2 linked regions of the Drosophila melanogaster genome follow. The protein of the gene in region 2 interacts with the protein of the main gene of each other region in a pairwise test. Each region holds a gene or a part of one and is shown on either strand. Other genes may lie near its edges.

The links. Proteins that work in one complex are often made in the same cells at the same time.
Region 1: the proteins of CG11076 (region 2) and mil interact in a two-hybrid assay, tested with the Drosophila melanogaster proteins (one large-scale study listed by BioGRID).

The regions. Positions count from the first base shown.
Region 1 is NT_033777.3:27,910,630-27,914,362, forward strand, and holds mil (milkah), read left to right. Parts: upstream 1-1,817; 5' UTR 1,818-1,938; coding exon 1,939-2,171; intron 2,172-2,236; coding exon 2,237-2,360; intron 2,361-2,424; coding exon 2,425-2,653; intron 2,654-2,712; coding exon 2,713-2,798; intron 2,799-2,852; coding exon 2,853-3,032; 3' UTR 3,033-3,156; downstream 3,157-3,733. Other genes in the region: CG5003 (uncharacterized protein), read right to left, coding at 3,409-3,733.
Region 2 is NC_004353.4:1,029,053-1,032,795, reverse strand, and holds CG11076 (uncharacterized protein), read left to right. Parts: upstream 1-1,820; 5' UTR 1,821-1,985; coding exon 1,986-2,825; 3' UTR 2,826-3,085; downstream 3,086-3,743. Other genes in the region: ATPsynbeta (ATP synthase, beta subunit), read right to left, coding at 843-906; mitochondrial inner membrane protein MPV17, read left to right, coding at 3,547-3,743.

The DNA of each region.
Region 1 (3,733 bases), on a different chromosome or scaffold from region 2:
GCCCGATGCCCGATGCCCGACCAACCAAAAATGGTTAGTGAGTGCCATGCCCTGCCATGGTTGCGTTTCTGGGGCCGGGCAAGTTTTCAATTTAAGTTGAATTATTATGACCTTAATTAACACGTCGTTTCATCATCAAATGCCGCACTACATCTTATGCTTTTGTTGCAGATATTTCGGCATGGCGCCGTTGCTTCAGTTTCAGGAGCAGGTGGAAACGTAGGAGTTCCAGGCTGCCAGGTTGCCTGGCTCGTGGATGAGGATGTTGAGCTCCTGATTCGATTTTCTGCAGACATGCACTTTTGCCAGGAAGGAGCTGAAGCAGGAGCTTTAATCCCTGCGCCAAGTAACTGTTGCTCCGGTTGGTCGGGCTGCGCCAAACCATTCCATTCTGCTGGGCTCTACTAATTTTGGTTTTAATTAAATTCAAACTATGTTGACGCTCCCGGCACTGACGACCTCCGACGAGCGGCAATCACGTGGGTGATGGCCATGGTCCCCATGTTCCTCCAAATGATCCTGATGATGCTGATGATGATGGGGCTGCTCCATTACTTATGTAGCTACATTTTATGCACCGCCTAATTGAATGACCGAAATGTAAATTGAAAATGCCCGAATAGCTTAAATGGTTGTGCACTTGAAGAGTCCTTGATTAGTTGATCTTGATTAGTTCCCAACTATCGATTTCCATCTCATTTGGATTAATACCTAACTATCTTGCATATTCCATTCCTGCTAATGATAATGACGTGAAATATATATACATACCAATTATTTTGCACAGTGCAGGCATACACTCGTACAAATGTGGAAATTGGCCAGCCAGAGCCGTCATCATCAGATGCCTGGCTGCCTTACACTATTTGCGTTATGATTTCTTTTTAATTTCCCAGCGGTATTTAGGGAAAAAATTTAATAATATCAAATATGAGAGCAGCGAGTGGTGGATGTCCTGTGGAGACTGGACAAGTGCATGTGCCGTGTGTCGTGTGTGTTTGTATTTGTGGGCAAACATTCAACAGCGCACAACAATGCGATCTCCCGCTTTTCCCGCTTATCCTCTGCGGCTTTCATTTGGCGGATGTGTGTGTGCGTTGTTGTGTGTGTGTGTGTGTGTCTGGACTTCCGCTTGGCTGAATTTGTTTACACTTTTTTTTCGCCCGCCGCCACTGGCCCACTCATAATTTCATTTTGAAATGTTTGCCTAAGCGACAATTTCACTCTTTTTTTTCACTTTTTTCTGTTGTTTTTCACAGCCGGACATATGGCACTAAGCCTGGCCCACATTATTAAAACCAGCGACAAAAGACAAGCGACTCTCGGATAGACCAGAAACTGGGTCCACGGTCCATTTAACAGACTCCAGGAGGCGATGGCGATGGCGATGGCGATGGCAATGGCTGAACCTGAACCCTTGGCGGCACAGCACTCAGCACGTGATTTGCATACACTTAGGCCAGGCTGGCGGCACCCAGTCCAAGCTTTTGGCCCACACTTAATTACATGCCAAATGAAAAGTTGGCGGAAGCAAACAAAAAATTTTGGGGAAACCAAAAATATATAAACAGGAAAAGAGCAGGAATTAAATGTGCGTTAAATTGCCAATAAACATGGCCTGCATCTCAATGGGCAAAGTAAGGCGAAAGGGGTGACTAAAACAGCAATAACACGAGGGTTTAAAAATGTAGCTTAAAAAAAAAGAATAATAAATTGCTTAATATTTTCTAGTACATCTAGTTAGTTCCAGCACTTTAGTGAAAAGCGGGCCTTGCCTTTTGTGCTGGGAGTTTTGGGAAACTGATAGAGCTACTTTTCATTCCCACAACGGCAGTCACAGCGAAAACGCACACGTCCAAATTTTATACTTGAACAAAACCAAATCACTTCAAGAAATATTTTTTTTATTTTTCTTTTGATTATCGTGTCGAAACATAAATGGAAACTGTGCGAAATCGAAACCCTCCGCGGATGAAGTACACCGCTCCACCGAAGATGGAATCGGATTTAAACTTCACCGAGAAGGAGAAGAAAACTCTTACCGAACTGAAGCAGCTCTATTTGGAGACCATTAACCTGGATGTGGCTCTGCAGCGCGACATTTACAATATCGAGAAGAAGTACGAGGATAAGCACAATATCATATTTGATAAGCGCAAGAAGATTCTAGAGTAAGTCCATTAATGGTGTTTGGTTAAACAAGATCTCAATTCCCCCAAAAATCCCATCGGTGCAGTGAGTTTAGAAAGCAAAACCACGGCGACGTGGAAACCAATCAGAGCGTGCCCAACTTTTGGCTGAGGGTTCTCAAAGCATCGTACACCGAGTTCATCAGCAAGAGGGATGAGAAAATATTAGAGGTATGTTATGGATAGATCCGATTTGAAGGATATTTAAATTTTAATTGAAATTTTTCCCGCGCAGTGCTTAAGCGACATCCGTTCTCGGCTGTACAACGAACCCGTGGTGAAGTTTGATATCGAATTCCACTTCGATCCCAATGATTACTTTACCAACACGGTGCTGACCAAGACATATTTCCTCAACTGCCTGCCGGATCCAGACGATCCGCTCGCATATGATGGCGCCGAGATCTACAAGTGCGAAGGCTGCGTCATCGACTGGAAGCAGACCAAGGACCAGACCAAAACCGGTAAGCCATCTGGGAGCATCAAATTTCACAGATGTTAGTTGAATTCACTCATTGACCAGAAAATCAAGAGCCGTCGTTCTTTGAGTTCTTCTCGCCGCCGCTTTTGCCAGAAGATACCCTTGACCCCAACTACTGTGACGTCAATGTAAGATTGAATATCAGCGATCTGCGATCCTTTCACATGCATCTCCTCCCACAGGCTATGCTGCAAAACGATTTTGAGGTGGGCTTCTATCTAAAGGAGCGCGTGATTCCCAAGGCGGTGATCTTCTTCACCGGCGAGATTGCCGATTGTCAGAGCTCCAGCGGATCGGAGACCGAGTCGGAAGATACCGAGGACGAGTCGGATGCCGAAGAGGAGGATGGCGTCGACAAGTAAACATTTTACACCGCTTATATACAGTTTACATACATTTTTAACTCGAGTCACCGAACTATTGGCCTGTCCTTACCCACTACATACCAACCAAATAAACATTTCATTATACATATTTACCAAAAGGATCTCGCGCGCTCTTTTTAATGCCTAGCTAAAGGAATTGAATTGTGGTTTTGATTTATACAGTGCGTTTAGCCTGGCGTGTATATATTACAAGGACTCGAATAGTCAAACGTAATACTAGATGGCTGAGCTACAGCACTCGCTTGTAGCCAGCGTTGTGGATCCATCGGCTTGGCCATGTCGTCTTTTTTCTTAAAAAAAAATAAAATAATCCAGCACGGCCCACTTCGACGGAATCTTTACAAACAATATTCTAAGGAGCCACCACCTCCTGTGGCGGTGGCGATTTCGGTGGCTGCTCGTCGTCGGCGCGCGGCGGTGGCTGCAGCATCACCACCACCGTGTCATCCTCTTCCTGTGTCTCCAGCTCCGGAAGTCTTTCAAACTCCTCCAAGTGATTGGCGACCACTTCGCATTTCGGTTTGGAGATCTTGAAGCGCCGAATTGCCGGAAGCGTAATGCTGGTGCCACTAACATCGATATACACCAGATTCGGAGAGCACTGCACCAGGTGCTCCAGGGTATGATTTGTGATGAGATGGTAGTTTCGCAACGACAGTCGCTCCAGTTTATTGTCT
Region 2 (3,743 bases):
CAGGACTTGTCGAAGGCCACCGCAGCAGGTGCTTGCAAAAAAATATATATGTATCTAACATTGTATTAGATGCTTGATTTGTTTAATGAATGAATAAAACACATTCGGCTGATGATCCTGATCATCGAATAAAATTTATGGGATCGGAAAAGTTTGCTAATTTATATTGCCAGCGTATGAAAAGGTTTTCTTAATACCCCATATGTAAAGCTAATTGGTATCATTTTTTAATAAAAAGTACTATCAGTTTATTGATTTTCCTATCACTAGATACCAATATATACAGATTTATGTTATACTTAACGAAAGTGATACTAGTAGAATACATCATCGTAAAACTTAAACAGTAACAATTTGGGCATCAATATCGACAATTTTTAATATTATTTTTTAAGATAATGATGAACAATTAATATTATACTATTAATTATTAATTTAATTTTTAAGTAACTTTAATTTTCAAAATACTTTGTGAAGAATTCAATTGCAATATAACGAAAAAAAAATTTATTCAATTTAAAACGTCAAACAATATCGGCATACAATATATGTACATACCTAGTTAACTTACAGAAAGACGTACACGCAAATGTCTGACTAAAAAAATCTTTTTTTTTTTCAAAAGTCGTTTAAATTGAGTACTGTTATATATGTTATAAAACAGAAGTAACCTTAAATCATTCAAAATTGTTATGTAATATTTTTTTTCGCTCGTAACATTTTATTGAACGATAGGTTATGTTCGACAATTGCGCTATTAGCCAAAGCACATATTTTGTGCTGAACTTCGCAATTTAATACAATTGTTATCAATTAAAAATTTTTATTTTTGTGCTACTTACACAATTGCCCCAAGAATGGCAGCAAATTCTTATCGGCTTTAGATGCAGCACGTAACGCGAACATTTTTCTCGAACTAACTGAGAAGTGTGCGGGCGAGCAGAAGTCCTAGTGATGAGCAAATCGGTAGTCGCGATATATTGAGTATTTACGCTTCCAAAACATATCGAGGTTTTAGTATTTTTGCGTATTCAGACCATAATGTGGACTTACGTTGTTGTTACCGCACCAGGAGAGTGTCCGAATGCCACTTTTATATATACACAATGAACTGTAACTGTTGTGGTTGCCCGACACTAACGACTGATACACCCATGAAAAGGTGGTTTAATGGATTGCAAGCTGATGTGGCTGAGTAGAGGTAACTGCACCAACAAAAATAAGTAAAACAAGAGAGAACGCAAGTACGCAAGAGAAATTTAAATTATTTTATGGCTTATGGATAGAATTTGGAAAATATATGACAAAAAATGATATTAATAGTGGTAGGCGTGACAGTTTTGGGCGGCGTGTGGGCAATAGATTGTGCGTTGCAGCATCGATGAAAAAACTTGCCCTGATTCTTCGTCTCTGGAATGTTAAGTCTCAACTTGTTAAATCACTATCTAGCTTTCGTAGTTCCTGTGATCTCGACATACAGAGGGACATGTGTAGATCGACTCGGCTGGTGATCCTGATATGAAGATGATGAAGAAGATATGGTTGAAAAAGCGAGTAAACAATTCTTAGTCAGTCTGATTGGCAATTAATTTTTGTTTAAAAGATATCAAAAGCAAACAAAATTTTTCGATATTTGTCTTAATACAATTTTTGTCGGCTTGTCTGCCTGAAGAAAAGCGTTATTTTAAAACCTAAAAAATAAATTTGTTTATGTTAAACTGGTTGGTATGGGAAACTTAGGGTTTATTACTTTTGCTAAGCCCTTCCATTTTAGCGAGAAACAGCTATAAACATTTCCTTCCTACCCATCGCTAAAATCTAATAGTTTATCTAGGTTAGGGGTGTTTACGCTTACAAACACATAACTACAATATTTACTCCTTCAAATCATTTTAAGTTATCGATGCATCGATATTTCCCTTGTATTTTTCCACCTGTACCACGTGTGGTCATTTTCTGCAATACATTGATTTCCCCAACGCTCAATGAAAATAAGTAAAAAACTCTTTTCCCGCCAGGAGGAAAAACCTCGGAGCCAATTTCTGGAGGAGGAACAGTACGTGAACCTGACCTCAGGCGCGGCTGCTCGTGAGTGCTGCGGGGATGCTCTTTGGGATTTCGATGGTCAGACCGACGAAGCCTGGCTGGTCCAGTGTCCCAAGGGTGCAGATCCACATCTGCTAGTCGGCAAGCGCATTAGGCTTCCTGGCAGGAAGAGCGTGGGCGATCTCCAGGTTCGTGCCGTCAAAAACTCGACGTTACAGAGCGAGGCACTGGGCTATTTGAGATCTATGGGTCCCTATGCCCTCCGGAAAATTCCCTTTGTCGGCTATGTGGTAATCAGCAAGCGTCTATATGATAAACAACCGCTACCAGGTCAGAAGGAACATACAATTCAAGCTGATCTAACGCTACCCAAGTACCTATTACGAGAACGACATCCGTTGTTCGGGCGCAGCTACAAGCAACGCATCCAATTACCGAAGATGATTTCCACATCTCTTAGTCAAGCAGACGAGAAATTCTTGGAAGCTACTGCCAAGCTTCGCAGCACTGCTAACTACTACAAGATCCGGAGCAAGCTGCACACCACCACACAGACGCTAGAACAAAAAGAGGACGATGTGCGACAGTCGGTGCTTACCGGTCGTACGCCGCAGTTCATGAAGGAAACAATAATCCCGGATCTATATAAAGATCTCTTAGACGAAGAGGACATCGAGAAAAATATAATGAACCCAGCAGAGGAAGTTGGTCCTGCCAAAATGCGCAAGAAAAAATTTAATTCAAACGGTCACAAAACGGGAAATGCAGTAGGGAAATAGACAAAAGAAGCTTAAATTAAATGAAAGCAACGGCCGCTAATGACCTGGACGAAGTAATTGCACAAGAAGGCTTAAAAAAGTCGAATGGAAACCATTAAGAATTAGAGTTTACTTAAGATAAATTCACATACTTACGTAATTAAATAAAAATATGTAACGATTTGGATTATAGATTATCACATATAAGCTGCATAAATTAATGTAGTCATTTAATAACGAAATAAAATTGCACTTTGTCAAGGCGTGTTCACAGCACTATGAACAGCTGACGTTAATATCAGTACCTTAATAGTTGCGGAGAAAGAGCGGTGGTTAAAGTTAAGATTTATATTTAAAAGAATATTAAGAATACGCGTTGCGCATGTTCCGAAAGAGATTTCTGTGCTAAAACAGTTCGATACTTAAAACGTTTAAGTTATTTTACATTACATTACATTAAATTGCATATTGAACGCAATTTAACGTTTTCTCATTCGGCATGTAACAATTAAAAGGACTCACGCGCGTTAAAAAGTTGAATACGCTAGCATAATTTAATTTAAATAATTATTCAGAGTTGCCAATTTTTGTCACTTCAGCAATTGACACCAATCACTTTGCGATTATTAGGCAACCCTTTAAAACTACACGAACAACAGCAAATCGATTTCTCAGTTGTGTTTTAATTGCGTATTTAAAACAATTTGGATCGGGCTATGAATGGAACTGATCTCTGATAAGGATGAAGAGACTTAAAGCGTACCTAAAGGATGGCATCAATGTGGCGGCGGTAATGTGTCTGGGCGATACTATATCCCAGTTCTTTTTTGATAAGAAATCGTTGGACGAATGGGATGCGGGGCGAACCCTCCGTTTCGGCATCGTTGGACTGGTGTTCGTTGGCCCAACTTTGCGCCGGTGGTACCATTTTTTGGAGTC